4 linked regions of the Anolis sagrei genome follow. The protein of the gene in region 3 binds, or shares a complex with, the protein of the main gene of each other region. Links are inferred from orthologs where the notes say so. Each region holds a gene or a part of one and is shown on either strand. Other genes may lie near its edges.

The links.
Region 1: METTL3 (region 3) and RBM15 share a complex: the UniProt entries of both Homo sapiens proteins name them as parts of the WMM complex. The link is inferred for Anolis sagrei from reciprocal best matches to the Homo sapiens genes METTL3 and RBM15.
Region 2: METTL3 (region 3) and CBLL1 share a complex: the UniProt entries of both Homo sapiens proteins name them as parts of the WMM complex. The link is inferred for Anolis sagrei from reciprocal best matches to the Homo sapiens genes METTL3 and CBLL1.
Region 4: METTL3 (region 3) and WTAP share a complex: the UniProt entries of both Homo sapiens proteins name them as parts of the WMM complex. The link is inferred for Anolis sagrei from reciprocal best matches to the Homo sapiens genes METTL3 and WTAP.

Annotation. Positions count from the first base shown.
Region 1 is NC_090024.1:183,682,291-183,689,192, forward strand, and holds the start of RBM15 (RNA-binding protein 15), read right to left. Parts: upstream 3,014-6,902; 5' UTR 2,848-3,013; coding exon 1-2,847. UniProt on the Homo sapiens protein: RNA-binding protein that acts as a key regulator of N6-methyladenosine (m6A) methylation of RNAs, thereby regulating different processes, such as hematopoietic cell homeostasis, alternative splicing of mRNAs and X chromosome inactivation mediated by Xist RNA.
Region 2 is NC_090025.1:82,852,927-82,860,551, forward strand, and holds the start of CBLL1 (E3 ubiquitin-protein ligase Hakai), read right to left. Parts: upstream 3,019-7,625; 5' UTR 2,943-3,018; coding exon 2,930-2,942; intron 1-2,929. UniProt on the Homo sapiens protein: E3 ubiquitin-protein ligase that mediates ubiquitination of several tyrosine-phosphorylated Src substrates, including CDH1, CTTN and DOK1. Targets CDH1 for endocytosis and degradation.
Region 3 is NC_090026.1:10,920,831-10,928,615, forward strand, and holds the start of METTL3 (N6-adenosine-methyltransferase catalytic subunit), read left to right. Parts: upstream 1-4,770; 5' UTR 4,771-4,836; coding exon 4,837-4,930; intron 4,931-7,484; coding exon 7,485-7,687; intron 7,688-7,785. UniProt on the Homo sapiens protein: The METTL3-METTL14 heterodimer forms a N6-methyltransferase complex that methylates adenosine residues at the N(6) position of some RNAs and regulates various processes such as the circadian clock, differentiation of embryonic and hematopoietic stem cells, cortical neurogenesis, response to DNA damage, differentiation of T-cells and primary miRNA processing.
Region 4 is NC_090021.1:68,271,165-68,278,899, reverse strand, and holds the start of WTAP (pre-mRNA-splicing regulator WTAP), read right to left. Parts: upstream 3,015-7,735; 5' UTR 2,769-3,014; intron 2,611-2,768; exon of another isoform or gene 2,341-2,610; intron 1-2,340. UniProt on the Homo sapiens protein: Associated component of the WMM complex, a complex that mediates N6-methyladenosine (m6A) methylation of RNAs, a modification that plays a role in the efficiency of mRNA splicing and RNA processing.

The sequences.
Region 1 (6,902 bases), on a different chromosome or scaffold from region 3:
CAAGACCCCGCTGTTTTCTTTGTCTTTGTTGCCTCCTACTGGGAGGCTTATCACTCCAGCTGCCTGTTTTTGTTTGAGATAGGACACCAGGTTTCTGAGTGGTCGCTGTGTGGAGGTGGTGTTAGCATCACCAGCCCCAGATGAGGCACGGTTGTCTGTGGTTCCAGGCACAGCCAGAAGAATAGCATATCCATTAGGCCCTGCCACTTTGATGCGACGAGTAACTTCATCCAATTTAGGCTGGTCCAGACGGAGTCGCTGGGTGATTTTTAGCTGGGCCACTTTGCCACCAGTTGCTCCTTCTACCAGGAGACTGCTGGCCACACTCAGATCTCCTTGAAGTAGGTGCATGTTAGACGGGAAGTTGCTGTTCTTCAACAAAAGCATTCCTTGCCAAGCCAGGCAGAGTTTGGGGGATGACCCAGACTTTGAGCCTCCATCCTGCTGTTGCTGCTTTTGAGGGGGAGGTTTCAAGCGTGATCCTCCGCCACTGCTCCCTTCAGAGACATGTTCATCTTTTTTAGCTGGGCTCTTGCACTCTTGAGCCGCAGCTACTGCGAGGGTGCGATGTTTTCGTTCCCTTTCTACCGAACTCTTGTGCTCACGCTTCTCATTTTGGCCTCTCTCCAAGCTACCCCTACGTGACTCTCTGATGGGTGAATGGCGATCCAGCAGGAGCAAACGGGAAGATGACCGTTCTGCATCACTCCCATAGCGGTCTCTGCCTATGCCAGGCTCAGGACTACGATCTTGTGGAGAAGCTGCAGTAGGGCAATGCCGTTTGCGGGAAGAAGATGACCGTTCGCTATCAGGCGAACGGTCCAAATGCCGTCCCCCATCCTCCACCAGTCTTCGCTTCCTGGGTGGGTCCCTGCTGCCACCGCCTAACTCCCTTTCCCCGCGAGTTCTCTCTAGAGACCAACCGTCTCGCCTGCGTTCCAGGCTCTCAAGTGCATCATAGACAGTTGCTCTGTTGCCCCGGTCTCGAACTGGAGGTGGGGGAGGAACCCACTCTGTTTCAGGATATAAATCTCTGTCACGGTCATACAGCAGTGGTGGGGTCCTATCCCGTGCACCTCGGAGTGGATCAGGTGGTGCACCACGATGCGCCCCAAAGGCAGATGTCTCTGCTACCAACTCATAATGGCCAGGGGGCGGAAGCGGCAAGGGCTGCAAATAGGGCTGCTGATAGTGATGCTCTGTGTCAGCAAAGTCCACCCTCAAACGGCGGTCCGGTCCACCCAAGGGGAAGCCACGCATGTGAGTACAAGCAGCCTGGGCAGCATCCAAACTCTCATACTGGATGTAGGCCCAGGAATCCCCTTTCCGATAGTCAATGGTGCGGATAGTACCAAAACGGTCAAATTCCCTGGCAAGGGCGGCTAGCGGCACCCAAGGCCCCAGCCCACCGACCCAGAGCCGCGTGGTGGGGGTGGCCTTGCCATAGCCAATTTTGATAGGATTACACAGCAGCACTTTGCCTGACATGGCGAGCTTAGCCCGATGGGCCATATCCAAATTTTCAAACTTGAGAAAGCCATAAGTACTCGTCTGTCCTCGGGACGGCCGCTTGATATCCACCTCCGTGATCACCCCAAAGCGATCAAAAGCCCTCTGGAGGTCCGACTCGGTCACCGAGATGTCCAGGTTGCCCAGGAAGAGTGTGCGGTTGGCCCGCTGGTCGTCTTCGGGGCTGATCTCCTCCTCGCTGGCCGTCCCTGTGCCGCCCACTCCGCGGAAGGCAGCCGCCGCAGCCACTCCAGCCACACGCTCCAGGCTGTAGGCGGGTCGGACCCGGTCGTAGAAGCCCCCATAGTCCCGCTCCCTCTCCAGCTCACGGGGCAGTGGCGGGGGAGGCAGGCGGCCCAGGGCCAGCTGCTGCAGCCGGAAGTCCCTGTAGCCCAGGCCGGCCCCTCCGCCGGCGGGAGAGAGGGCCCTCTGAGCGGCAGCCGGAGGGTGCCTGAGGGCGGCGGGAGCGGCGCCCGCTACGCCCACGCCCGCGGCTCCGTAAGGGGAGTCCTTATCTAGGATGGCTGGGGAGCGGCTGCTCCTTCGCCGCCCGCTTGCCCCGCTGCCCACATAGACGGCCTCAATCTTCAGGGGCCTGTCATAGAGGACCAGGCGGCCTCGGGCGTGCTTGGCGGCGCGGGCGTCCTCCGGGCGGCGGAAGTTGACGAAGGCCACCCTCTCGTCGGCAGCGCCTGTCCCGGGCGGGAGGCGGCTGATCTTGACACTCACATCCCCGAAGCGCTTGAACTCGTGGAAGAGCCCGTCCTCGATGGCCTCGTCGCTCAGCGCGTTGCCCAGCTCACTGATCTTGAGCGTCTTGTACTCACTGCCGCCGCCGGAGTCTGAAGGGGGCGCCCGGGAATCCCCTCCTCCTCCTCCGCCTCCTCCTCCGCCTCGGCTGCTGCTGCCCCGCGAGGACGACGACGACTCCGCGTTCTTGCTGCTGCTGTTGCTGTAGCCATGTCGGCCGCCGCCGCTCCCCGTCACCGCCTCGTACTCGCGGCTGCTGGCCCGGCTGGCCTTCTCCAAGTGGAGGCCCCGGCGGCTGCTGCTGCTGCTGCTCCCGCCCTCTCCAGAGCCACCGCCCGCCGACTTCCCGCCGCCGTTGCTCGGCTTCTTACTGCTCCGCTCGCCTCGCACGGAGGAGGAGGAGTCGTCGCCGCCACCGCCGCCGCTGCTGCTCCCTCCGCCCCGGGAGCGCTTGGCCTTGGCCGGGGAACGCTCCTTGCCCTTCATGGCGGCGGGCGCCAGCGAGAGGGAAGCGCGCGCCCAGTACCGCGCCTCACGCAGCCCCCGCCGCCATCTTGGAATCTCCTGCAGGCTCGGAACCCCGCCCATGCGGGCGCCATTGGGCCCTCTCCGCTCGCCTCGGCATCCTCATTGCACGAAGCGCCTGTCAATCTAAAGCGAGGCGGTGGTGGTGGTGGGGGGAGGAAGCACCAGGCGGTGCGATGCTCCGGAAGCGGAAAGCCCGCCTTTTCCTGTATCGGCCTTCCTTTTGTCGCTCGGAAAAGTTGGGTTGAGAGGAACGCTAACTCCGCCATCCCATAGACCCATTGCCTGGGTAACTAAATCCGTTTCTCCATTTGGGTTGGACAAGAGTGCTGTCAATCTTTCCTTATTTCTCTCACAGCCGTATCCGTAGCGTTCATTGGCTATTGGGTTTTGGTTTTTTAAAATTCCAGGGAGGGGTGGGAGGCTGAGGAGCTCGCGCAAGCAGCTTTAATTTGATTGGATGGTGGCCATGCCTATCGCAACCGTCCCAACGGGTGACTGGGATTGGGGTGCCGTGAGCTGATTGGACGGTGAGGTAATCTGGCGGAGGCTGAGGCGAGGCCTGCTTCCTTGGCCTTCTCCGGGGCACGAGAGGAGCGCGGCCTCGATTGACGTCACGCTGCTCTTCCAGGGGAGTTGAGGAAAGGGCCTTGGCGCGGGCGGACTGGGCGGCTGGCGGGAAGGGCCACAGCAGGCATTTGCAAAGCTGGGCCCTCCAAGTGTTTTGGACTTCAACTCCCAGAATTCCTGACAGCCTCAGGCCCCTTCCTTTTCCCCCTTCCGCTTAAGCGGCTGAGGGGGAAAAGGAAAGGACCTGAGGCTGTCAGGAATTCTGGGAGTTGAAGTCCAAAACACCTGGAGGGCCCAGCTTTGCCCATGCCTATGTTCCAGCCTCAGCCACACACCAGCATGAATCTATGAACCATATAAGGGTTCCTGAAGCCAAACCTTGGTTGCTCTCATTTTATAGCTGAGACACCATTTTACTACACCATTACACGAAATGGAGCTTGCCCACCCACAGATTTTGTTACCCCCGAGGGTCCTCGGCCCACGTCCCAGCAGACGCCAATGGGTTCACTGTTCTGGGAACAAGATTGGGCCTCGTGGCACCCAACAGCACCATTGTTAATACAGGAACTCAACTTTCCAATGACACTATTGCATCAACCGCTTCCAAGCTGGTCCCAGGAGGCCTCTGGAAAAAATTCACCACTATGCAACAGCATTTTTGTTCCTCTGTTATCAATGTTGTTTCCTAATTGGTCCTATCATAAAAACATGGTAAAGGTTTATTAACCTGCAAAAACTTTGTTTTTGTGGGACTTCGTGCAGCACATGTTGCAACAGTTTTTCAATTAATACCCCATAGGGCCCTTCCACAAAGCTCTATATTCCAGAATATCAAAGCAGAAAATCCCACAATATCTGCTTTGAACTGGCTTATCTCAGAGCTCTTCCACACAGCCCTATATCCCAGAATATCAAGGCAGAAAAGCCCACAATATCTGCGTTGCACTGGCTTGTCTGAAGGCTCTTCCACACAGCCCTATATCCCAGAATATCAAGGCAGAAAATCCCACAATATCTGCTTTGAACTGGCTTATCTGAGGGCCCTTCCACACAACCCTATATCCCAGAATATCAAGGCAGAAAAGCCCTCAGTATCTGCCTTGATCGGGTTATCTGAGTCCACACTCACATAATGTGGGATTTTCTGCCTTGATATTCTGGGATATAGGGCTGTGTGGAAGGGTCCATAGAGACTCAACAAATTCAACATAGTTTGTGGCAGCCACAGAAATGGAGTTTCTGGAGTATAACAACTACTTTCAAAGGAAGCACCACACAATTATACAGGAAACAACACTTTCAAAACAGTAATGATTCTCCCCTTATCTTATTATTGCATAGTGAGACTTGGATCTCGACATTATCATACACACAAATCTTTATTATGGTCATAGGCCAGCATGAGGAGAGGGTTACAGTCTCATAAAAGCATTGTACATCAAAATCTAAAAGTCTAGAAAACAGGTATGTTGAAGGCTGCAGCACAAAATTATCTAGAATAATAATAATAATATGATGATGATGATGATGGTGATAATAATAATAAATCTTTATATCCTGCTTTTCTCCCTCATGGGACCCAAAGCAACTTACAACATATTAAAATCATGTAAACAACAATCCAAATACACCAATGATAAGTATAAAATATTATAAAATAAAGAGTTTAAAACAACAATAATATGCATTCACATTCTTGTGGCATGTCATTATATTGCAGTTTGTTCCTGTCCATAAACATGGTGTTTCTTATTATTCCAGCTTAGTTTCCTAAACAAAAGGGGAAGGGTCTAGCATGGGATGGAGAGAGAGGAAAATTGATGGGAGGGGCCTAGGAACATTCAGGGCACAAGTCTAGGGGAGGAGGGCACTAATTTATATTTTAGTTAGCAGATGGTTAGATTGCTAACTTTTGGAGCCAGTCATTATATAGCAGATTTTAATTGCTGCTGCACAGAACTTTGCAACATTATGGGTTATAACTGAATTGGTATCTGAAAGCAGCAGGGTGGTGTAGAATTGTCTCCACAAGTATTACGAACATGTTGTGGAGGTAGGTAAATCTGTTGATTTATGAACAATTATGGGAATAATTTTGTGGACCTTAACAGCAGCCTATGCCACGGTGCAACATAGAAATATGTTGCATAAAATCTACCATATTACCTGGAACTTTGATTTCACAAAAACGATCCAGATCCTTCTAGAAAACTGCAGCGTCTTTGTGGAATTTCAAGGCAGGAAAAGTAGATGGGGGAGGCAAAAGAATGGTTCACTCCAAGGCAGCATTCTTGCACCAACCTTGTTTAACATCTTTACTAACGATCAGCCATAGCCACCACTTTCAAAGAGCTTTATATATGCTGATGACCTTGGCATAACAACACAAGCAAAAAAACTGAAACAGTCAGAAACCAACTTACTAATGCCTTGAAAGATCTCTCCAGCTATTATAATGATAAACACCTGGAGCCTAACTTTGCCAAGACACAATTGTGTGCTTTCCACCTACAGAACCACGAAGCTAGCAGGAAATTGAAAGTTACGCGGGAAGACCAAGAGGTCAAACACCGTTTCCATCCTAAATATCTTGGCATCATCTTAGATTGAACACTAACATTTAGGAAACACTACATGAACACCAAGCACAAAGCAGCCCCACACAATAACATCGTGTGGAAACTTACTGGCAGTGCATGGGGAACAGACCCAAAATTAATAAGAACATCAGTTCCGGCCTTGTCTTACTCAACTGAGTATGCCTGCCCTGCTTGCATAAGTCTGTTTATGTGAAGCAGATGAACATAGCACAGAATGAAACATGCAGAATAATCACAGGATGTCTCAAACCTACACTTGTTGATAAACTCTACAAGCTAGCTGGCATTGCCCCCCCTCCCCACTCAATGTGCAACGGGAAGTTGCTGCTAACTGTGAGAGAAATAAGGTTGAACACTTAAAGCCACCCACTGCATGGCTATCAGCCTCCTCCCAGTAGACTCAAATCAAGGAAAAGCTTCATAGGAACCACAACTCCTCTGTCACCCGCTACTAAGGAGGCTGTACAGGTCCTGAACCGGTGCTTGGCTGCTGTGACGGTCTGAATGAGAGCAAACAAATTGAAATTGAATCCAGACAAGACAGAGGTATTCCTGGTCAGCCGCAAGGCCGAACAGGGCATAGGGTTACAGCCTGTGTTGGATGTGGTTACACTCCCCCTGAAGATGCAGGTTCGCAGCTTGGGTGTGATCCTGGATTTATTGCTGAGCCTGGAACCTCAGGTTTCGGCAGTGACCAAGGGAGCATTTGCACAGTTAAAACTTGTGCGCCAGCTGCGCCCGTGCCGTGGGCAGTCTGACTTGGCCACGGTAGTCCATGCTCTGGTTACATCCTGTATAGACTACTGCAATGCTGTCTACATGGGGTTGCCTTTGAAGACGGTCCAGAAGTTTCAATGAGTCCAACAAACAGCAGCCAGATTGCTTACAGGAGCGGCGCTCAGGGAGTGTGATGGCACACCAGGAAGATCTAATGAGAAACCTAAA
Region 2 (7,625 bases), on a different chromosome or scaffold from region 3:
TGAATCAAGCTTTTGTTTGTGTTCTAACAAATAAGCACACTTTGAGTTCATCTACACTGTGGAATTATTGCAGTTTGCCACCACTTTAATTGCCATCGCTGGATGCTAAGGAATCCTGGGACTTATAGTCTGGAGAGGCACAGCACTTACTGACACAAAAGGCTAAATATCTTGTAAAATTCCAGCTCCAATGATTCCATCACATTGAGTCATGGCGGTTAAAGTGGTGTCAAACTGTATTCAATCTACACTGTAGATGCTGTCAGACCTTTATTTTGTGTACATTCTTAAAATGGGTTTGTCTCCAATTATGGTAGAATACTTGTCTCACAGGAAATTCCCAGACGCAAGTGTTGCTACTAAACCACTTAGTCAACAGAAACCATAAATGTATTCTAGTGAAGGAAGCTATTTCAATTAAATATTTTAATACAGAGACTCATGTGTACAGGCAGTCCCCTGGTTGCTAACGTTCAATTTACAAACAACTCATAGTTAAGAGAACAGGAAGTGAAAAAAACCTTCCCCTCAGAAGGGAAATTTACTTCTAAAAGAATTATGAAGGGGAAAGGTATCTCAACTGAAACTATCATCAATCCTTGTTTTCACCACAAGACAAATTTGTGCAACTAGGTGGCATTCATTTACTGCTGCCAAATTGTTGTGACCCCCAACATTGAACTTTTAATTCCTGCTATGGTCCAGCTTGAAGCAGTGTTTTGAGTGTCTGGAGATCAAGGATCAAATCCCCATTCAGCCTGGAAACTCACTGGTGAATTTGGTGAATTCCCACTCTCTCAGCCTGAGGAAGGCAATGGCACACCTCCTCTTAGCTTGCCAAGAAAACCAGGTGATAGGGTTAACTCAGGGTGGAAACGAACTGAAGGCACACAACAACAATCAATCATCTCTCGTACTGGTAAGATTAGACACAAAGATCTTGCAGCACCTTAAGAGACTGAAAGAAAGATGTCAGAAGCATAAGCTTTTGTAGACTTCAGTTTATAAATGTTTATGCTACCAACTTTTTTTCTCAGTTAATCTCAAAGGTGCTACTAGATCCCTTTGAATACTGATCCATGAATAAACTTTTGCAAACTAAGGGTGCTGTTGTAAAACCTGAGATTTGTAGTTTGGTTAGGCACCAGCACCTTTTGACAGAGAAGGCGAAAGACCTTGGACCGTACCACATTAGAGGACCTCCTTTCAGCGACACCAGACACATTCAAATACTTAACTGCTTGTAGTATTTTATGCATTATAACTGTATTCCCAATTTGCTTCTGACACGATAAATAAAGGGACTTGTTGTATGCTGAGGCACTAGCACTCATAGAATCATAAGTTATAGTGTATAACTTTGTAAGTACTTAAATGTGTTGTAACTTATGATATTTAATGATACAGATGTTCTATATGTATGCTACTGGAGTAAAACATTGATTTGTACATTAATTTGAGTCCACCAGAGGAAGGCCTGAGGTAGGCCGAAACCGATCGTGGACGGCTGATCCACAAGCTACTTATAAGAAGATATGACTGTACTAAAAATCTGCACCATGTTGTTTGTTGTCGCTGTGAGGTTAACAGTGCAGCATGTTTATATACTGTTGTTGAATTATATTATTGTTTATGTTATACAAGTGGTATTTTTGTTGTATGCATTCAATCTTTCCTTTTCCCCATCAGCGGCCACCTCGATCCACCCAGGAAAATCTCCTATACATACCGGCTCCTAGGGAGGCACATTTGGAAGCTACAAGGCGTAGAGCTTTTTCGATCAATGCTCCAATTCTGTGGAACTCATTGCCTCCATATATTAGAGCAATGTCGGAGTTGCAACCTTTTGCAAAGGCGCTCAATACTTGGCTGTTTGGCTGTGCATTTAAGTAACCGGATCAAATTTTGCCATAGTCACTGCTGAATGTTTTTATGTTGAATGTTTTTATGTTGAATGTTTTTATATTGAATGTTTTTATATTGAATGTTTTATATTGTGTATAAACTGTTTTAAATTGTAAGTCGATCGGAGCACCTTGGTGGAGAGCGACTAATTAAGAAATAAAGTGATGATGATGATGATGATTCAGGAACCCATTTATATTATAGTATTCTGCATCTCATGGTGCCAGAGCACAGTCTGTTCAGCACCTTCCAAGTCGCCCAGTGTTCTGTGTGCCCAGAAGGGAGTCACCCACGGATTGAGGTGCTAGGTTTGAGCCTGCCACTTTTGGACTCTCGCTTGCTGACATGAGACATGAGAGACATGACATGGGACATGAGAGAAGCCTCCTCGCAGGATTGCAAGACATCCGGGCGTCCCCTGAGCAACGTCTTCGTAGACTTCTCTTGCCACAGATGCAACCAGAAGCGACTTGCAGCATGCAAGCAAGCAAATAAAAAATGAAATACAACTGTTCGGTTTGCTCCTGACACAATATTTTTTTTTCTGCCTAAGTGGCAGAGAAGGCGAAATGCCTGGTAAAACTTAGAACTCCCAGGGCAGAAGAGGGAGGCAAAAAGAAGCAGTGGGGTAAGGAAAGGCAGACACGGCAAGGAGGAAGAGGCCTAGCGCGGACTTTGCTATTCTCTGAAGGCCTCGTCCCGCTCAAATTGAGCCTCTTCTCCTTATCATGGGAAAACCCAAATCCCCTCAAAGCGCGCTAGGCCTCAAGTCACGAAGGCCCAAGTGCGCCTGCGCAGCCTCCTTCACACCTCCCCCCCCCCCCCCCCCCCGCCGGCCGCTCTTTTCAAACAAGGCCTCAACGCTTCTAAAGGCCTCGCCGCTCCCTCAGGCCTCCCTCCCGCTCAAATTGGGCGGCTTGTGGACGACGAGAGAGGGAGAGAGGCTGGGGCGAAAGCGGGGGAATGCGTCGGGTCTTCCGAAAAAGGGGCCTTCCCTCCTTTCCAACGCCCGCCAAGCGCTCACCATTGTGGTCCATGATTCGAGGCAGGGCACTCTGGACGGGAAGTGTCCTGGCGCGAGCGGGTGGGCGGGGCCGGAAAGAGCGCGCGAGGGGCGCGAACATAGAGACAGGCAAAAATATAGATTCCCAGCGGCAGAGGACACTAGCGGGTTTCTTCAGGCAGTTTTTTTTTCTCCTCTGGGAAGAAATTGAACTCTGGCTATGGATTTTAGTAAGGAGTGAAACTTCCAGGTTGTGGTGCACGAAGAATGACTTGTTTTAAAGCAGCATTTCTCAACCTGGGAGGTGGTGTCAGAGGGGTAAGCAAAGGCCATCAGAAAACACAGTTTTTTCTGTTGGTCATGGGGGTTCTGTGTGGGAAGTTTGTCCCAATTCCATCAATTCAGAATGCTCTTTGATTGTAGATGAACTATAAATCCCAGCAACTACAACTCCCAAATGTCAAGGTCTGTTTTCTCCAAAATCCACCAATGTTCATATTTGGGCATATTGAGTATTCGTGCCAAGTTTGGTCCAGATCCATCTGTTTGAGTCCACAGTGCTCTCTGGATGTAAGTATACTACAACTCCAAAACTCAAGGTCAGTGCCCACCAAACCCTTCTAGCATTTTCTGTTGGTCATGAGAGTGCTGGTGGAATTCAGAATGCTCTTTGATTGAAGTGAACTATAAATCCCAGCAACTACAACTCCTAAATTTATTATTTATTTTTATTTATTGTTCTTAAACCCTGCTACCATCTCCCGCAGGACTCGGTGTGGCTTACAAGAGGCCAAGCCCAATAACACCATAAAACAACAACAGCAAAACAATAAATAACTCAAAAAAGCAAAACGACACATTTTAAAAACATGAGGCAGACAAATGACAAAATCACACACACCCCAGCCCCACAAGTATTCAAATTTTGGTGTATTTGTGCCAAATTACATCTTGCATATTAGATATTTACATTAAGGTTCATAACAGTAGCAAAATTACAGTTCTGAAGTAGCAACAAAAATAATTTTATGGTTGGGGGTCACCACAACCTGAAGAACTGTACTAAGGGGTCGCGCCATTAGAAAGGTTGAGAAACACTGTTTTAAAGGGAAAGGCAGTAAGGAAAGACGTGTATTTTTTTTCCTTCCTATGGTGCAAGATTGGGAAAGGCATACGGCCAGAGGCGGCCCTAGGTAATTTTCAACAGTAAGCAAACAGTATTTTGGTGCCCCCCCCCCCCCAACCAATCATTGATATATATTTTCTGTTTGTCGTGGGAGTTCTGTGTGCCATATTTGGTTCAATTCCATTATTGGTGGAGTTCAGAATGCTCTTTGATTGTAGGTGAACTATACATCCCAGTAACTACACTTGCTGCACTTGGGTTCGTAGACAGAGATGCGGTCGCGCAGAGACATCACACTGGCAACCAAGATCCGCGTAGTTAAAGCAATGGTATTCCCCATAATAACATATGGATGTGAGAACTGGACCATAGGGAAGGCGGGGCGAAGGAAGATAGATGCTTTTGAACTGTCGTGTTTGAGGAAATTTCTGAGAGTGCCTCGGACCGGGAGAAGATCCAACCTATCCATACTTCAGGAAATAAAGCCCGACTGCTCACTGGAGGGAAGGATATTAGAGGCCAAGATGAAGTATTTAGCCACATAATAAGAAGACAGGAAAGCTTAGAGAAGACAATGATGCTGGAGAAAATGGAAAGAAAAAGGAAGAGGGGCTGACCAAGGGCAAGATGGATGGATGGTATCCTTGAAGTGACTGGCTTGACCTTGAAGGAGCTGGGGGTGGTGACGGCTGTCAGGGAGCTCTGGTGTAGGCTGGTCCATGAGGTCACGAAGAGTCAGAAGCAACTGAACGAATAAACAACACGGTGCATCTGGTTTATTCTTATTTATCTCTTTTTTAAATTTATCAAGCCTTTAATTATATATATATAGTTCAGATGTTTGAAGATTTTTTAAAGTAAAAACTACTTTATATTATTTGAAAGTAATTGGCATAATTATTTAAAAAAACTTAGGAGTGTAGATCTTATAAGACTTAAGCAACAATTCTTGATTCCTTCACAATAGCTTGAATGAATGAATACATATTCTAATAAACAGCTTATTGTTAATTAACAATTTTATCCTTCCTAAGTTTTCTTGAACACATAAGGTGTTGGATTCAACATTAGAAAAAGAGACTCCCCCCCCCCCCCCCGTGATAAAGGCACACTCAAGTCTTATTTACTTTTTTATAATACACTAGCCATCCCCTGCCACACATTGCTATGGCCCACTCTGTGTATATGTGTTTTGTGTGTGTATGTATGTGTATATTTGTATACATGTGGTTTTGTGCATGCATTGTAATGTTGTCGTTGTTGTTTTGGCTTTTTAAGTCTCTTCCACTGTGTTTTTCAGTGTTTTTATGAGTGATGGTCACTTGTTGGCCTGAGAGGTGTATTGTGTCCAAATTTGGTGTCAATTCATCCAGTGGTTTTTGAGTTATGCTAATCCCACAAACGAACATTCCTCACCTCTGAGGAAGCTTGCCATAGATGCAGGCGAAACGTCAGGAGAAATGCCTCTAGAACATGGCCATATAGCCCGAAAAAACCCACAAGAACTGAACATTACATTTTTATTTATATAAACTAGCCATTCCCTGCCATGCGTTGCTGTGGCCCAGTCTCTGTATATGTGCTTTGAGTGTGTATATATTTGTGTATATATGTATGTTTGCGTATATATAGAAGTTGTCATGTATTTTATTTTATTTTTACTTTTTAAGTCCCTTCTGTTATGTTTTTCATTGTTTTTCTGAGTGATGGTCTCTCGTTGGCCTGATCGGTGTCTTGTGTCCAAATCTGGTGTCAATTCATCCAGTGGTTTTTGAGTTATGTTAATCCCATAAACAAACATAGAATCATAGAATCAAAGAGTTGGAAGGGACCTCATGGGCCATCCAGTCCAACCCCCTGCCAAGAAGCAGGAATATTGCATTCAAATCACCCCTGACAGATGGCCATCCAGCCTCTGCTTAAAAGCTTCCAAAGAAGGAGCCTCCACCACCCTCCGGGGCAGAGAGTTCCACTGCTGAACGGCTCTCACAGTCAGGAAGTTCTTCCTCATGTTCAGATGGAATCTCCTCTCTTGTAGTTTGAAGCCATTGTTCCACGTCCTAGTCTCCAAGGAAGCAGAAAACAAGCTTGCTCCCTCCTCCCTGTGGCTTCCTCTCACATATTTATACATGGCTATCATATCTCCTCTCAGCCTTCTCTTCTTCAGGCTAAACATGCCCAGTTCCCTAAGCCGCTCCTCATAGGGCTTGTTCTTGTTGGCCTGATCGGTGTCTTGTGTCCAAATCTGGTGTCAATTTGTCCAGTGGTTTTTGAGTTATGTTAATCCCATAAACAAACATAGAATCATAGAATCAAAGAGTTGGAAGAGACCTCCTGGGCCATCCAGTCCAACCCCCTGCCAAGAAGCAGGAATATTGCATTCAAATCACCCCTGACAGATGGCCATCCAGCCTCTGTTTAAAAGCTTCCAAAGAAGGAGCCTCCACCACACTCCGGAGCAGAGAGTTCCACTGCTGAACGGCTCTCACAGTCAAGAAGTTCATCCTCATGTTCAGATGGAATCTCCTTTCTTGTCATTTGAAGCCATTGTTTTGCGTCCTAATCTCCAGGGCAGCAGAAAACAAGCTTGCTCCCTCCTCCCTGTGGCTTCCTCTCACAAATTTATACATGGCTATCATATCTCCTCTCAGCCTTCTCTTCTTCAGGCTAAACATGCCCAGCTCCTTAAACCGCTCCTCATAGGGCTTGTTCTCCAGACCCTTGATCATTTTAGTCGCCCTCCTCTGGACACATTCCAGCTTGTCAATATCTCTCTTGAATTGTGGTGCCCACATTCCATTTTTATTTATATAGATAATAATATTATATATTATTATTATTTTAATAGAAAAGATAGAAACAATATTATATATTATTATTAATTATATTATTATTTATTTCTTAAGGTGCATCTGATTTATTATATTTTTTTTATTTCCTAACGTGCACCAGATTTATTATTTCTTTAGTTTCCTAAGTTGCAGCTACACTGTAGAATGATTGCAATTCGACGTCGCTTTAACTGCCATGGCTCAATGTACTTAAGAGTCCTAGGAGTTGTACCTATTCAATTAAGCCCGGAAGTCATGAGCTGATGGGTTTATCTATACTAAGTCTATGCGTCGCACTCCGCTTCGGCCGAGATGGACGAAGAGAGATAGAGGTAGGAATGTGAGTGTCAACTTCCTACTTCCGATCCCCAAGCGATCTCGTTCTATCTGTGGTTCCCAATGCAAAGCCACTGGTAGTTTCACCATAGAGATACAAGAGATGCATAGCGGCGGATGCCACGCGAATGCACCTGGTTCTTTTTAACCCTGTACTTTCAAGGGCAGGACACATACCGAGGTAATTGGTGGTGCCTTGCATGGGATAACTAGATCTGCTAAGGACAAGCACAGGATATATGGCCTTATGGTGGCCCCATTCATTTCACAGGGTTTTATTAGGCAAGGAATGCAAAGAGGCCTATTTTTGTCAGTTCCTTCCTCTGAATCACAACCTATAGCATCTGGATTGCATTGGCTGTTTCCCATCCAAGTGTTAACCAGGGCTGACCCTGCTTAGCTTCCAAGATCAGACAGGATCTTT
Region 3 (7,785 bases):
GTCAGAGACAAGAATGGGATTGTCATTTACTATTTCTATACATGTTATATATGAAATACTTTATATGCACACTCGCAATATTTGCTTGGAAATTAGTGCTGGCTGAAATAACCATGTCCAGCACAGTGCAAAAAAGCGTTTTTGTTGTTGTTTCCGTTTTCCCACCCCTAAAACTGCCAAGAAATTGGGTTCTCGGATTTTGTGCAAGTTGAACAGAGCTATTAATGGGAAACTCCTGAAACAAGAAAAAGCCCTACAAAGAATTAAAATAAATCTTTTTAAATTTTACGCCACACTGTACAGAGATATTTGGGGTTATCCTACGCCCTGAGATTTCAATGCCGTGAGGATGCAAGATAAAGTTCTAAGGGTTGCTGTGAGTTTTCCGGGTTGTTCTAAGCTTTGAGACAATGACCAAAAGAGTCCTTGAGAACCCTTTGGAAAGGTGACCATCATTTCTGGCTGCCCAAAATAGAAGTCATGTTAGTGAAGCAACGGAGTAGCCAAATTGTTTGGTTCCGCTTTAACTGCCATGGCTCAATGTATAGAATCATGGGAGTTGTAGTTTTCTGAGGCATAGCTGTTAAAGTGGCACCAAGATAGCTAAAACTGTGTTTGTTGTTCATTCGGTCAGTCGTTTCCGACTCTTCGTGACTTCATGGACCAGCCCACGCCAGAGTTCCCTGTCGGTCGTCACTGCCCCCAGGTCCTTCAAGCTCAATCCAGTACTTCAAGGATGCCATCCATACATCTTGCCCTTGGTTGGCCCCGCAACCATAACATTATTGCTACTTTCATATTTGTAATGTTGCTACTGTTATGAATTGTAATGTAAACATCTGATATGCAGGATGTATTTTCATTCACTAGACCACATTTGGCCCAAATTCGAATACTGGTAGGGTGACGGGGGGGGGGGGGGTGATTTTGTCATTTGGATGGACTCAAACAATGATGTATCTGGACCTAACTTGGCAGAAATACTCAATATTCCCTAATCTGAATACTGGTGGGGTTGGCAGGGGAATTGTCACTTAGGAGTTGTAGTTGCTGGGATTTATAGTTTACCTACAATCAAAGAGCATTCTGAACTCCACCAACAGTGGAATTGAACCAAACTTGGCTTGCAGAACTTCCATGATCAACAGAAAGTATTGGAAGGGTTTGGTGAGCATTGACCTTGAGTTTTTGGAGTTGTAGTTCACCTACATCCAGAGAGCACTGTGGACTCAAACAATGACGGATCTGGACCAAACTTGGCACAAATCCTCAATATGCCTGTTCTGTCACGTGCTGGGCCTGTAACAGCTGTCTTTTCTATAGGACGTATACTTTAAGCCCAACAGGAAGCCTCAAAGAGAGGTTCTCAGGGATTTTTCTGAACTAATGGTCTTTAGAGTCTTTAATGATAAAACAAAGTCTTTATTATGGAACAAACAACAAATCTTCAATGGTTCAAACAACACTTCAAGTCTTTCTTAGTCTAGTCCTCAATGGACTGGTACCTGACTTTAATTAACTGTACTTTCTCTGTAGGAAAAAAAACCCTATTTAACCTCTCCCAGGCTGTTTACTATCTATGCCTCATTGGTGTGGGTCCTACTACCAATTCCAAATGTGTCTGGGTATCGAGTAGACCTACCAGCCGAGGCTTGTAGTCATTTCAGATGGAGTTCCATGGATCTGTAGTTCTATCCTCCCTCAGAGAATTCTTTTAAAACCTCAGGGTTGTTTTCCCTCTGATTGCTGTGAGGCTGAGAGGCTATGAGCTCTCAGCCAGAGCCTTGGGACCTTTTCCCTGGAATATCTGTTTATGTTTCCCCGGATGTTCTTGAGAAAAGAAGCTTTTCTACGGGACGAGCTGGTCTACATCCTATAGTTTAGCTTCCTTATGTGAGACTGCCAAAAAAAAATGGCTCCTTTCCCTCCCAGAGTCCTGAACAAGGGGCGGAACCAAAGCTTAATTATGATGGACAGGCGGCCTGCCCTATGACTGCAAACAGATAACAGAAAGAAAATAAAGTTGGAGCTCCTGGTACAGCTGTACCAGCACAATGCCCAAATATGAACACTGGTAGAGTTTGGGGAAAATAGACCTTGACATTTAAGAATTGCAGTTGCTGGGATTTATAGTTCACCTACAATCAAAGAGCATTCCGAACCCCACCAACGATAAAATTGGCCCAAACTTCCCACACAAGAACCCCCATGACTAACAGAAAATACTGTGTTTTCTGATAGTCTTTGGGGACCCTTGCGACCCCCCCGAAGGGTCCCGATCCCCAGGTTGAGAAACAGTGGCCTAAGTAAGTAATAATCTATTTCAAATCTATAATTCTATGAAAAACCCTTTCAAATTTCAAATTCAGATTGGATTACTGTAATGCGCTCTATGTGGGGCTGCTCTTGAAAACGGCTCGGAAATTCCAACTGGTTCAACGGGTGGCGGCCAGGATGTTAACGGGCGCTCCTTACAGAGAGAGGTCAACCCTTCTGTTTAAGGAGCTCCATTGGCTGCCGTTTACCTACCGAACCCAATTCAAGGTGCAGGTGCTTACCTACAAAGCCCTAAACGGTTTGGGACCTGCCTGCCTGCGTGACCGCATCTCCGTGTATGAACCCACACAATCCCTTTGTTCATCCGGAGAGGCCCTGCTTACGATCCCACCTGCGTCACAGGCGAGTTTGGTGGGTACGAGGGACAGGGCCTTCTCTGTGATGGCCCCCCGACTCTGGAACACCCTCCCCAAAGACATTAGACTAGCACCCACGTTGGCAGTCTTCAGGAAGAATCTGAAGACCTGGCTATTCCGATGTGCCTTTCCGGAATAGGATAATCTCCAGCACTACGTCCCAGAAGCACTTTATTAGAGTTTAGGACTCTCTGCACATTGCACTTGCCCGGAAATCCAAAATACCACCTGCCACACCCAGCACTTTTTTAACCTGTACCCATCACTGGCCCGGCCCTGGTTTTTATTGCGTAATTGATGTATTGTTTAGGTTCTTGTGGGTTTTTTCAGGCTATAGGGCCATGTTCTAGAGGCATTTCTCCTGACATTTCGCCTGCATCTATGGCAAGCATCCTCAGAGGTAGTGAGGTCTGTTGGAATTAGGACAATGGGTTTATATATCTGTGGAATGGCTGGGGTGGGGCAAAGAGCTCTTCCCTGCTGGAGCTAGGTGTGAATGTTTCAACTGACCACCTTCATTAGCATTTGAAGGCCTGGCTGAGCCTAGGAGAATCTTTTGTTGAGAGGTGTTAAGATGTGCCTGGTTGTTTCCTCTCTGCTGTTTTGCTGTTGTAATTTTAGAGTTTTTTAATACTGGTAGCCAGATTTTGTTCATTTTCATGGTCTCTTCCTTTCTGTTGAAATTGTCCACATGCTTGTGGATTTCAATGGCTTCTCTGTGTGGTCTGACATTGTGGTTGTTGGTGTGGTCCAGCATTTCTGTGTTCTCAAATAAAATGCTGTGTCCAGTCTGGTTCATCAGGTGCTCTGCTATGGCTGACTTCTCTGGTTGAAGGAGTCTGCAGTGCCTTTCATGTTCCTTGATGCGTGTCTGGGCGCTGCGTTTGGTGGTCCCTATGTAGACTTGTCCACAGCTGAATGGTATACGGTAGACTCCTGCAGAGATGAGAGGATCCCTCTTGTCCTTTGCTGAACGTAGCATTTGTTGGATTTTCTTGGTGGGTTTGTAGATTGTTTGTATGTTGTGTTTCCTCATCAGCTTCCCTATGCGATCAGTGGTTCCCTTGATGTATGGCAGAAACACTTTTCCTCTGGGTGGATCTTCATCTTGACTCTCGTGGCTTGTTCTTGGTCTTGCAGCTCTTCTGATGTCTGAGGTGGAGTCTCCATTGGCCTGGAGAGCCCAGTTGAGGTGGTTCAGTTCATCTTGGAGGAGGTGGGATTCGCAGATTCTTTTTGCACGGTCTGCCAAGGCTTTAATGGTGCTTCTTTTTTGACTTGGGTGATGGTTGGAGTTTTTATGTAGATATCTGTGTGTGTGGGTTTTCTGTAAACGGTGTGACCCAATTGTTGATCTGGTTTACGGATGACTAGGACATCTAGAAAAGGCAGTCTTCCTTCCTTTTCTTTTTCCACAGTGAACTGGATGTTTGGGTGGATGCTGTTAAGATGGTCCAGGAACCTGTTGAGTTCTTCTTCTCCGTGGCTCCAAATGGTGAAGGTGTCATCCACATATCTGAACCATATCGTGGGCTTTTTGGTTGCTGCCTCCAGGGCTTGTTTTTCAAAGTGTTCCATATAGAAGTTAGCTATGACCGGGCTGAGAGGGCTCCCCATAGCTACTCCATCTTTCTGTTCGTAGAATTCATTGTCCCACTGAAATAATATATTAATATTAATATTAATAATAATAAAATTAAAAAGGGTGTAACTTGAAGGCAAGCCTAGAAGGATTGAGATACCACAGTAGGCTATATTTCATAGGAAACAACTGCCAAAGCCACCTCGTCTCAGAAAACCCTATTCAAAACCATGCATCTCATATGTCGCCCTCGGGCTGAGAGGGGCGGTCAATAAATGCAAATAATAAATAAATAATAATAAAAATAATAAATATGTGAAGCAGATGATGCAAAGGCAGGCGGGAACAAGAAAGAGGGAAAATGTGCCCATTTCCAAAATGGCTGCTTGAGCATCGCTCCGGCTTGAACATCCACTTCCCCTTTGTCTTAGCGACCGCTCTGTCCCTAAAGAGCTTCAAACCGGAAGTGTGCTCACATTATCTCCGTCCCTCCGTCCCCCAGGGAGAGACTTCCGGTTGCCTATTTGAGACGCCTTTCTGGCTGATGTACTGGCCGGGGAGATGTCAGACACATGGAGCTCGATCCAGGCTCACAAGAAGCAGCTGGACTCGCTGCGGGAGCGGCTGCAGCGGAGGCGGAAGCAAGAACCCCTGGGTAAAATATAATAATAGCAATAATAATAATAATAATAATAATAATGAAGGCCGGAATGGTTTTGTGGTGGTTTGAATGGGAAAGCAAAGGCCATTTATGGGCTTGTATGTGTGAAAAGGGGGTGAAGGTAAAATGGAGAGAATCATAGAATCAAAGAGTTGGAAGAGACCTCCTGGGCCATCCAATCCAACCCCATTCAGCCAAGAAGCAGGACTATTGCATTCAAATCACCCCTGACAGATGGCCATCCAGCCTCTCTACCTCTCTCAACCTCACTACCTCTGAGGATGCTTGCCATAGATGCAGGCGAAACGTCAGGAGAAAAATTGCCTCCAGAACATGGCCATATAGCCCGGAAAAACCTACAACAACCCATCCAGCCTCTGTTTAAAAGCTTCCAAAGAAGGAGCCTCCACCACACTCCGGGGCAGAGAGTTCCACTGCTGAACGACTCTCACAGTCAGGAAGTTCTTCCTCATGTTCAGATGGAATCTCCTCTAGCTTTCCAGGGCTTTGGACATCAGTTAATCACTGTAGAATGAATGCAGTTTGACCCCACTTTCTCTGCCTTGGCTCTATAATATGTAATCTTGGGAGCTGTAGTTTGGTGAGGCACCAGCACTCTTTGCCACAGAAGGCCTTGCAAAACTACAACTCCCATGTAGTTCTGCTGACCGAAAGGTCGGCAGTCCGAATCCAGGGAGCAGGGTGAGTTCCTGTCTGTCAGCTCCAGCTTCTCGTGCAGGGACATTTATTTATTTATTTATTTGCTTCACTTGTATACCGCTCTTCTCAGCCATCAGGTGACTCAGAGCGGTTAACAACCAGTATCAACAACACAGTACAAAATCATTAATCATTTAAAACAATTAAATCAATTAATTAACATCAGAACATCAATACAACAATACAGGAAAACAACAATCCATCACGTCTCATCGATAGAATCAGCATCCGATCTCGTTGTCCATTAATCCATATTCCAGAAATCAATCAATTGCACTGCTTAGTTGAAAGCTTGTTCGAAGAGCCAGGTCTTCACTCTCTTCCTGAATGTCAATAAGGAGGGGGCCGATCTAATGTCTGTAGGAAGGGCGTTCCACAGCCGGGGGGCCACTACTGAGAAGGCCCTGTCTCTCGTCCCCGCCAGGTGTGCTTGTGAAACCAGCGGGATCGAGAGCAGGGCCTCCCCAGACGATCTTAACGTCCTAACTGGTTCATAGGAGGAGATGCATTCGGACAGATAGGTCGGGCCAGAACCGTTTAGGGCTTTAAAGGCTAAAGCCAGCACTTTGAATTGTGCCCGGTAGCAAATTGGCAGTCAGTGGAGCTGGCGCAACAGAGAAATGGTATGCTCCCTGAGAGCCGCTCCTGTTAGCATCCTGGCTGCCGACAGTTGGACCATTTTAAGCTTCCGAGTAGTCTTCAGAGGCAACCCCACGTAGAGAGCGTTGCAGTAGTTTATACGGGATGTAACCACAGCGGACTACAGTGGCCAAGTCAGACATGAGAGAAGCCTCCCACAGGATGGTAAAACATCTGGGCAAAATCCTCTCAGACAGCCAATTCTCTCACACCAGAAGCGACTTGCAGATCTTTGGGTCCTCATGAACAACAAGTTAAACATGAGCCAACAATGTGATGCGGCGGCAAAAAAGGCCAATGGGATTTTGGCTTGCATCAGCAGGAGTCTAGTGTCTAGATCCAGTTGGAGTTAGAGAGTAGCTCAGACGAGTTCTTTACTATTAAGAAATGTAGTTATCATTTTTGTAAATAAACCTTTTGTAACTTTAAAGATTGAACTCTGCATCTTACCTCCTAAACTCTAAATTCTTTCCTGGCCACAACACTTCACGCTCTGCTTGCTGTGAGCTGTGAACTGAATGCTCAATTATAAGTACTCTATTTGTGTTTTTGGATGCTCTGCTAACAAAAAAGACCCTATAAAATTCATGGAGTCAGCATAAGTTCACAAGGTGATGAAGGTACACTAAGTTTGGAGAAACCAACAAAACTGAGGGTCATAAAAACTGTATAAAACTGTGTGCTAGTTTGATATACATTTGGTGCTCTAAATCCAAAAATGACCTCAGATTTCCTCCACATTTTTATTTTGGAATATGTGACTAAGATTTCTATGGGTAATACAATGTACCAGGGATGGAAATCACATGGCATCTGGGTATTGTTGGACTGTCCTTCCCAGTTCAGCCATAGTATGTGTTGGATTTATTTATTTATCGTGTCAGGGGCAACCAGACAATTGTATTACATTTCTAACAGAACAAAACAAACAAACAGACAAAACACAAAATTTGCAAGCTTGGTAGTTGATTAAATGTCCTTTGACCAGTATCTGGCCACTTGGAGTGCCTCTGGTGTTGGATGAGGCTGCTGGGAATTCCAATCCAGTTGGCCCGGTTGAATGTCAAACAAGGCTGAAGGCCAAGGAAAGAATAAAGTGAGGACAGCAGGTTGAAACAGAAATGGAGTAAATGACAAAATGTTTCTTGCATGGACAGTGCTATTGTGTCTTCTTCCATCCTCTTTCCAGACCTCAGGAATCCAGAGCTGGCCCTCAGCCCTCCCTTCCGCAGTGACAGCCCGGTCTCTTCGTCTGTCACACCCAGCACTGCTACTGAATCTGGGGATCTGGTAACAGACCCTGAGCTTGAGAAGAAACTCCTTCATCACCTTTCGGATCTGGCACTGGCGTTGCCCACAGATGCCTTGTCCATCTGCCTTGCCATTTCAACGGTGAGAACAAGGCACCAACATTGCTTGAGGCCTGTCAGCAACATTGCTTGAGGCCTCCTTTTGTGGAGGTTAGGGGTGCAGGACCCATGAGAAAGTGA
Region 4 (7,735 bases), on a different chromosome or scaffold from region 3:
TCTATTATCCAACTGCATATGCAGAAATGAATACATCCTACTGCGATTCAGGGAAATCACATCCAAAGTTTTCCCAGTTCTTTAGAAAATGTTTTAAGGATGTTCAAGATGAGGGAGGGAAGAATGCTACAGTGGAATGGGAAATTAGATCCACTTCCAATTTTGTTAATAGAATCTGATTACTTGTCCACAAAAGGCCAGTAATATTTTTTATCTAAACACTATACTTTCAAAAGTCTTGTATTCAAGTAAAGACTGGTTATTCCTAAAAGAGATCTCTAAATTGCAGAATGTTGCTTGTGCGGTAGCTTTGTGGAAGCCTACCTTTGTTTATAGTAAATTAAAACCACCCTATATTACTCTACTTCTGTTTGGCATGTGAGGCAAGGCAACAACGAATAGAAGATTCTCTGAAGTAGATATATATGGTACATAAAAGAGAAGGGAAACCTTCTCTTTTAAGCAGCATCTTTCCTGGTTGTGGACAGGCACAACTGGATATAACTTTGAAAGCCTACTATCTCTGAATGCAAAAGTAGTCATTTAGTGCAGAAATAATATTTTATTAACCCCTTTTTATTACATTGACTAACAAAACTTGGTTGTCAGTGTTACATTGCTGATAAGTGAGCTAACTGAAGTGTATGTGGTCTCTACTTATCTGATGCTATTAAGCCACATATGTCAATCTCACAGGTCCAACGAACACTGCAACTTGTTGAGTGCAAAAATACTGTATTGAGACTAGACTGCTTTTTCAATATACTATTCTTATTTTTAAAAAAATCCATACCCAAAAATCTGATCTACGCTTAGCATCCCTCTCCAAGCAACACAACAATCCTAGGCATGGTGTCTTGGCAGTATTAAAATGCTACATTACATAAATGCATATTTGTTCATTCAGGTGTATCGTAAACTAATACCATTGGTCTGTATAGGTGCAGCATCAAGGCACAGGTAGTTCTATATATGAATGGCTGGACTTGTATTATATATTTGTATTAATATGTAAGCACTAGTCCTTTAATGTGAGTGCAAGCTGCCACAAGCATTACATTTAGGGCTGCCCACTGAAGAAATATTTTCAGTTATGGTAGGTAGAGACTTTAAACTGCAGGCTGCATGTCTTGTCAGATAAACATAGCATATACTAACCTGGAATCTGAAACATAATTTATCTGTAAATGTCAAGAAATGATCAGGGATTGTGTACACCTGATATTTGAAACGGCCTTGGACCATGATTTTTGGATTATGTGATTTTACCATTTATATTAATATGTTTTTAACTCCACATTTTAATGTTTAAATGTGGTTACATATTTATGACCAAATCAATAGTTACATGTTATTGTTGTTTTAGGTTAGGTTTCATATGTATGTGAGGCATTCAATTTTGCCATAAATAAGTTGGAAACCACTTTGAGTCCCTCCCTGGGGTGAGAAAGGCAGTATACAAGTCAAGTAAGTAAATAAATTACAATGAAAATTGCTTAGTCTGAAAGAAAGCCTAAAGACCACCCTGGGTTTCTTTAAATACTATTTTTATGCATTATTTGCTGGCAATGCAGCTATTACTATTTAGATATTAGACCAGGGCATGGGCAAACTTGGGCCCTCCGGGTGTTTTGTTGAAATTCAACCCCCACAATTCCTAACAGCCTCTGGCCCTTTCCTTTTTTCCCCTCAGTCGCGTAATCATAATATGAACACTGGATTTAGTATCCCAATAATAGCCTCCTGCTTGAAACTTGGTCGGGCAAAGGATGTCAGTGGGGGAAAGATTAAATGGGTCCCATCTTTAAATGAACGTCTGAACACAACCCAAGCTGTCATTTCCTTTCTGGCTAATAAAATACGGCCATTCGGGCCTTTGCCTGAGTAAGCACACAGCAAGATCACTATTTTAAAGAAAACTGGCAAACGAGGGTAACTCTTGATTCCCAGATAAGCCATCCACACGGCCTTTATTCGCAGAAGCATAAAACTCAGGCGCTGCGTGGGTCCAAATCGTGGCACCAAGAGATTCTCGCAAAAGGCTTGTTCGTATAGGCTTTTTTAAAGGTAACTGGCGTTCTTTGGATGTCGATGGCAAGGCCGAGGCGTAAGGCCCTTTCCCCTCCATCCCTATCGCGCTAGTAAACAAGCCTGTGTTTTGCGGGAAGCGGAAGAAACGCTTCCGGGCGTGGCGGCCTCGGGCCCTCCAAAGAGGAGGGTGGGCGACGCCGCAGGAGCGCCAGAGCAGAGCCCCCCCCCCCCCTCTCCCCAGCCTCCATCTTGCGAAACGGTCGTCTTTTCCTCCCTGAAGCGTCGGGCCTTCATTCCCCCCTTCCTCACCTCAGTGGAGGCGGCGCCGCGAAGGCGTCCTCGTCCTCACTCGTCGTCTCCCCCTCAACCGACTTCCCCTGAGGCAGGGTTTCTCTGTCGCATCAATGAGCCGGAAGCCTCGAGGCAAGGCTTCTTCTCACCCTCCCGGTTGGGGGGGGGAGGAAGAGGGGGGGCTGCAGCACCGCACGCGCTTCCCGCCCGTTCTTATATTTGGGGCTCCTCCGCTGCGCTACAAAATGGCGCCGGCGAGAGCGCAACGAGAGGAGCCGCCTCGCCCCTTCCGCGCCTCGTCCAATCAAAAAGCAGGAACCGCCGGCAGCCCTCAAAGCGGGCCTGGCCCCGCCCCTTCGCTCCCTCTGCCTGCGCGCGCTACTCCCCCCTCCCCTCCCCAGCCCCGCCCGCGCGCCGCCTCGCGCCACCTCCTCCTCCGCACTTACCGGCCCAGCCAGCCACCAACGGACGGGAGTCCTTCGTCTCGCGCTCTTCCAGGCCGCCGCCCTCCTCTCCCCTTCCCCCGCCCTGCGTCCTAACAGTGTTTGAGTCAAGGCCTTTGACTCCCTCTTGCGCTCGGCACTGAGAAGGGGAAGTAAATAAGATTTGCAGAGGGGGAGGGGGGAGCCCCGGGGGAAAGGCGTGATGCGCGCCTCTTGCTTCCCTCCTCGCGCCCGCCAGAGTGCGCACTCGCAAAGCATGCTGGGGCGCTGAGGGAAGCGGCGGAAGGATCCGCAACGGGCCATCTGGCCACCTGCAGGAGTAAACACCAGAAGCGCGGAGGGATATCAGTCCCGTCTGCCCTGGGAGGAATCTTTTGGCTGCCGGAGAAGGGCTGTTGCCTGGATTCATAGTGCATGCAGTACCGGGTTTAAAATCAGAACCATTGAGTTGGAAGAGACCTCGTGGGCCATTCGATCCAGGCCCCTGCCAAGAAGCAGGAAAATCACATTCAAAGCCTCTGTTTAAAAGCCTCCAAAGAAGGAGCCTCCACCATACTCAGACGCAGGGAGTTCCACTGCTGAACAGATCTCGCAATTAGGAAGTGCTTCCTAATGTTTAGGCCATAGCTGTTTGGAAGTGGCCCTAGTCTCTAGAGTAGAAGAAAATATGTGATATTCTTTCAAATATTTAAAAAATGATTATCAAGGATGCTTGCCATAGATGCAGGCGAAACCTCAGGAGAAAATGCCTCTAGAACATGGCCATAGAGCCCGGAAAAACCTACAACAACCCGATTATCAAGTATTTTCTTGGCCTTCTTTTCTTAAAGCATAACATACCCAACACCCTAAATTTCATAGGGCTTGATTTCCAAAGGCATTCTTAATCCATTCCTGATTACCTATGTAGTGCTCACAAAGTGGTGGTTTCTTGGTATTAACATTTTGTTCACATTGCTTTAACATTTTGCTTATAACCAAGGTGAAAGAACAAAGTGCAAAAGCTGGGTTGCAGTTAAACAAACAAAAAAAACCCCAAGATTATGGCTGATTGATAACAAGCAAACATGGAGGCAGTGACAGACTTTGTATTTCTAGGAGTGAAGATTACTGCAGACTGCAGCCAGGAAATCAGAAGATGTTTACTTCTTGGGAGGAGAGCAATGACCAATCTCGACATCACATTGGCAATGAAGATCCACATAGTTAAAGCAGTGGTATTCCACATAGTAACCTATGGGTGCAAGAGCTGGACCACAAGGAAAGCTGAGTGAAGGAAGATAGACGCTTTTGAACTGTGGTGTTGGAGGAAAATGCTGAGAGTGCCTTGGACAGCAAGATCAAACCAGTCCATATTCCAGGAAATAATGTCCTGCTGCTCACTGAAGGGAAGGATATTAGAGGCAAAGATGAAGGACATTGGGCACATAACGAGAAGACAGGAAAGCTTGGAGAAGAGTATGACTCTGGGGAAAATGGAAGGAAAGAGGAAGAGGGGCCGACCAAGGGTAAGGTGGATGGAGAGTATCCTTGAAGTGACTGGCTTGACCTTGAGGGAGCTGCGGGTGGCAACAGCTGACCCATGAAGTCACAAAGAGTTGGAAGCAACTGAATGAATAAGCAACAAAGTTCAGAAGTATTCCTGGTTGTAGATTTACTAACTACTCTAAATGTTTCACTTGATGACACAAGCACTTCACCTTAATTTGGCAGTTAATCATAATCTACAGAAGCGATGTAAGTTTATCATGACTACTATGCATTTATTTATGAGTAAATTTTTAATTATCTGTGGTCAATAATGTGGGAATTATCTCAGACTGAAGAAATAGAGCTCAAGGAGAGAAACAGTAGCTTGTCAAAAGCCTGTTTGCTCAGCAAACTAAATTTCACAACAGAAAGTACTGTTGAGGCAAGCCTGTCCTAACATGTTGCCGTTGCATTTAATCAACATTGAAAGAAAGAAGAGAAAGTGACAGCATGATTACCCACACACATTTCCTAATCAAAACTATTCTAATCTAATACCTTAGCAGCCTGAAAGCCAAAACCAAGGTTACAACATCTGTTATAGAACTCCAGTATGCTGATGACAACGTCATCTGTGCATTCAGAAGAAGATCTACAAGCCACTCTAAACACCTTCGCAGAAGCATACGAGAAGCTTGGCCTGTCATTGAACATCGAGAAAACCAAAGTGCTCTTCCAGCAGTTACTGGCCAATCCCTCTCCAATGCCAGAAATACAGCTTAATGGCGTAACATTAGAAAATGTTGACCATTTCTGCTACCTTGGCAGCTACCTCTCCACAAAAGTCAACATTGATACTGAAATACAACACTTTCCTGAGCTCTGCGAGTGCAGCATTTTTCCGAATGAAGCCTAGAGTGTTTGAGGACCAGGACATCCGTAGGGATACCAAGGGGCTTGTTTATAAAGCTATTGTCCTCCCAACCCTGCTATATGCCTGTGAGACATGGACTATCTACAGATATCACATGCAACTCCTGGAACAATTCCATCAGCATTGGCTCCGAAAAATCCTGCAAATCTCTTTGGAAGACAAGTGGACAAACGTCAGCGTGCTGGAAGAAGCAAAGACCACCAGCAATGAAGTGACAGTCCTCCACCATCAACTCCACTGGACCGGCCACACTGTCCGGATGCCCGACCACTGTCTCCCAAAGCAGTTGAACATCTCTCACAGTCAGGAAGTTCTTCCTTATGTTCAAGTGGAATCTCCTTTCCTGTCATTTCCTGCTCCTAGTCCTAGTTTCCAAGACAGCAGAAAACAAGCCAGCTCTCTCTTCTTTATGACATCTTTTCACTTATTTAAACATGGCAATAACGTCTTTTTTCAACATTCTCTTCTGCAGACCAAACATGCCCAGCAATTTAACTTGAGAGAGTTTCCATTTTAGACTGTGGCACTCAGAATACTCTTTCCAATGCCAGAATCATGAATGGCTATGCTAGCTTTATAATCCCAAGGATACCTCTTCAGCATTCGACACGTGAAGACTGAACACTGTAATAAAGCCAGAAGCCAGCTCAACCCCAGTGTCTACTGCGGCATCAATGACAGCAGGCACACTGTAGGGGGTTCATCTACCAAAATTATATATGGCAGCCTCCTAATATTTCTTTTCTGCATAGTGGGGATGAAGGGGCAGAGATCCAAAATACTCCTTAAATCCAAATCCGAAATGCAGGAGTCCCCTTTCCACTGGAGAGGGCTTGGAAGGACACCACGGAAGTTGGATCTTAAAACTGCAAAAAAGCTGTTTATTGTGTGGCCATACACCCCAGAGTCCCGTATGCACACATACGTGGCAAACTTTCAGTGCCATTTAGGCACAAAGCTATATAGACAGACACAGAAGCAGTTTAACATTCCAGCTTTCTGGCTTCATGAGGGTATGCTCGATTCTGGCCACAGCGGGGAGCTGCCGCTTCACCATCCACTTGTGACACTGAATCCTTTATGGAGTACTTCCTCATTCCTGCACATACTGCTGGAAGGTTTTATGGTGTTGTAAATTAGTTAAATTAGCCTCCCCGCATAAAACGGTACCTAAATTTCCTACTTGACATATGCAACTGTCTTTCGGATTGAAGAGTGGGTGGGCAGGGGACAGTTCCATCCTGTTGGTGACCCCTCCCCCAAGCACCAACTGCCGCTCTGGGCCAGAGTGAAGAGAGGGGGGCCCAGGGGACAGTTCCACCTTGTCTCTTATGCTATGCTAACCATATAATATAATGTAATATAATATAATGTAATATAATATATCTCCAGCAAAGGATCGTGGCGCTGGAGCTTGAGCACCTCAATGATGTCATGAGCGAAACCGTGAAGGGCCACCCAAGACGGGACGGTCAAAATGCTGCTGGGGAGGAGCAGAGGATAAGTTCAACTAGCCTCAGATGTGACGACGCAGCTAGCTCAAAGCCGAAAGGAAGGCTAGCGCCGACGGTACTGGAGGTGAACGACGAATCCGATGCGCTAAAGATCAGCACACCATAGGATCCTGGAATGTAAGATCTATGAGCCAGGGCAAATTGGATGTTGTTATTGGTGAGATGTCAAGACTAAAGATAGACATTTTGGGGGTCAGCGAACTGAAATGGACTGGAATGGGCCACTTCACATCAGATGACCACCAGATCTACTACTGTGGACAAGAGGAACACCGAAGAAATGGAGTAGCCTTCATAATTAATAAGAAATTAGCTAAAGCAGTGTTTGGATACAACCCAAAAAATGACAGAATGATCTCAATTCGAGTGCAAGGAAAGCCTTTCAACATTACATTGATCCAAATATACGCCCCAACCACAGCTGCTGAAGAAGCAGAAGTAGATCAGTTCTATGAGGATCTGCAGGACCTACTGGATAATACACCAAAAAGAGACATTATTTTCATTACAGGAGACTGGAATGCCAAGGTGGGAAGTCAAATGACAACTGGGATCACAGGCAAGCATGGTCTGGGAGAACAAAATGAAGCGGGGCGCAGGCTGATAGAATTTTGCCAGGAAAACTCGCTGTGTATAACGAATACTCTCTTCCAACAACCTAAAAGACGGCTTTATACATGGACCTCACCAGATAGTCAACACCGAAATCAGATTGATTACATCCTTTGTGTATAACGAATACTCTCTTCCAACAACCTAAAAGACGGCTTTATACATGGACCTCACCAGATGGTCAACACCGAAATCAGATTGATTACATCCTTTGCAGCCAAAGGTGGCGGACATCCATCCAGTCGGTGAAAACAAGACCTGGGGCTGACTGTAGCTCAGATCACGAACTTCTTATTCCTCAGTTTAGAATAAAACTAAAGAGAGCAGGGAAAATACACAGACCAGTTAGATATGATCTCACTAACATTCCTAGCGAATATACAGTGGAAGTGAAGAACAGATTTGAAGGACTAGATTTAGTAAACAGAGTCCCAGAAGAA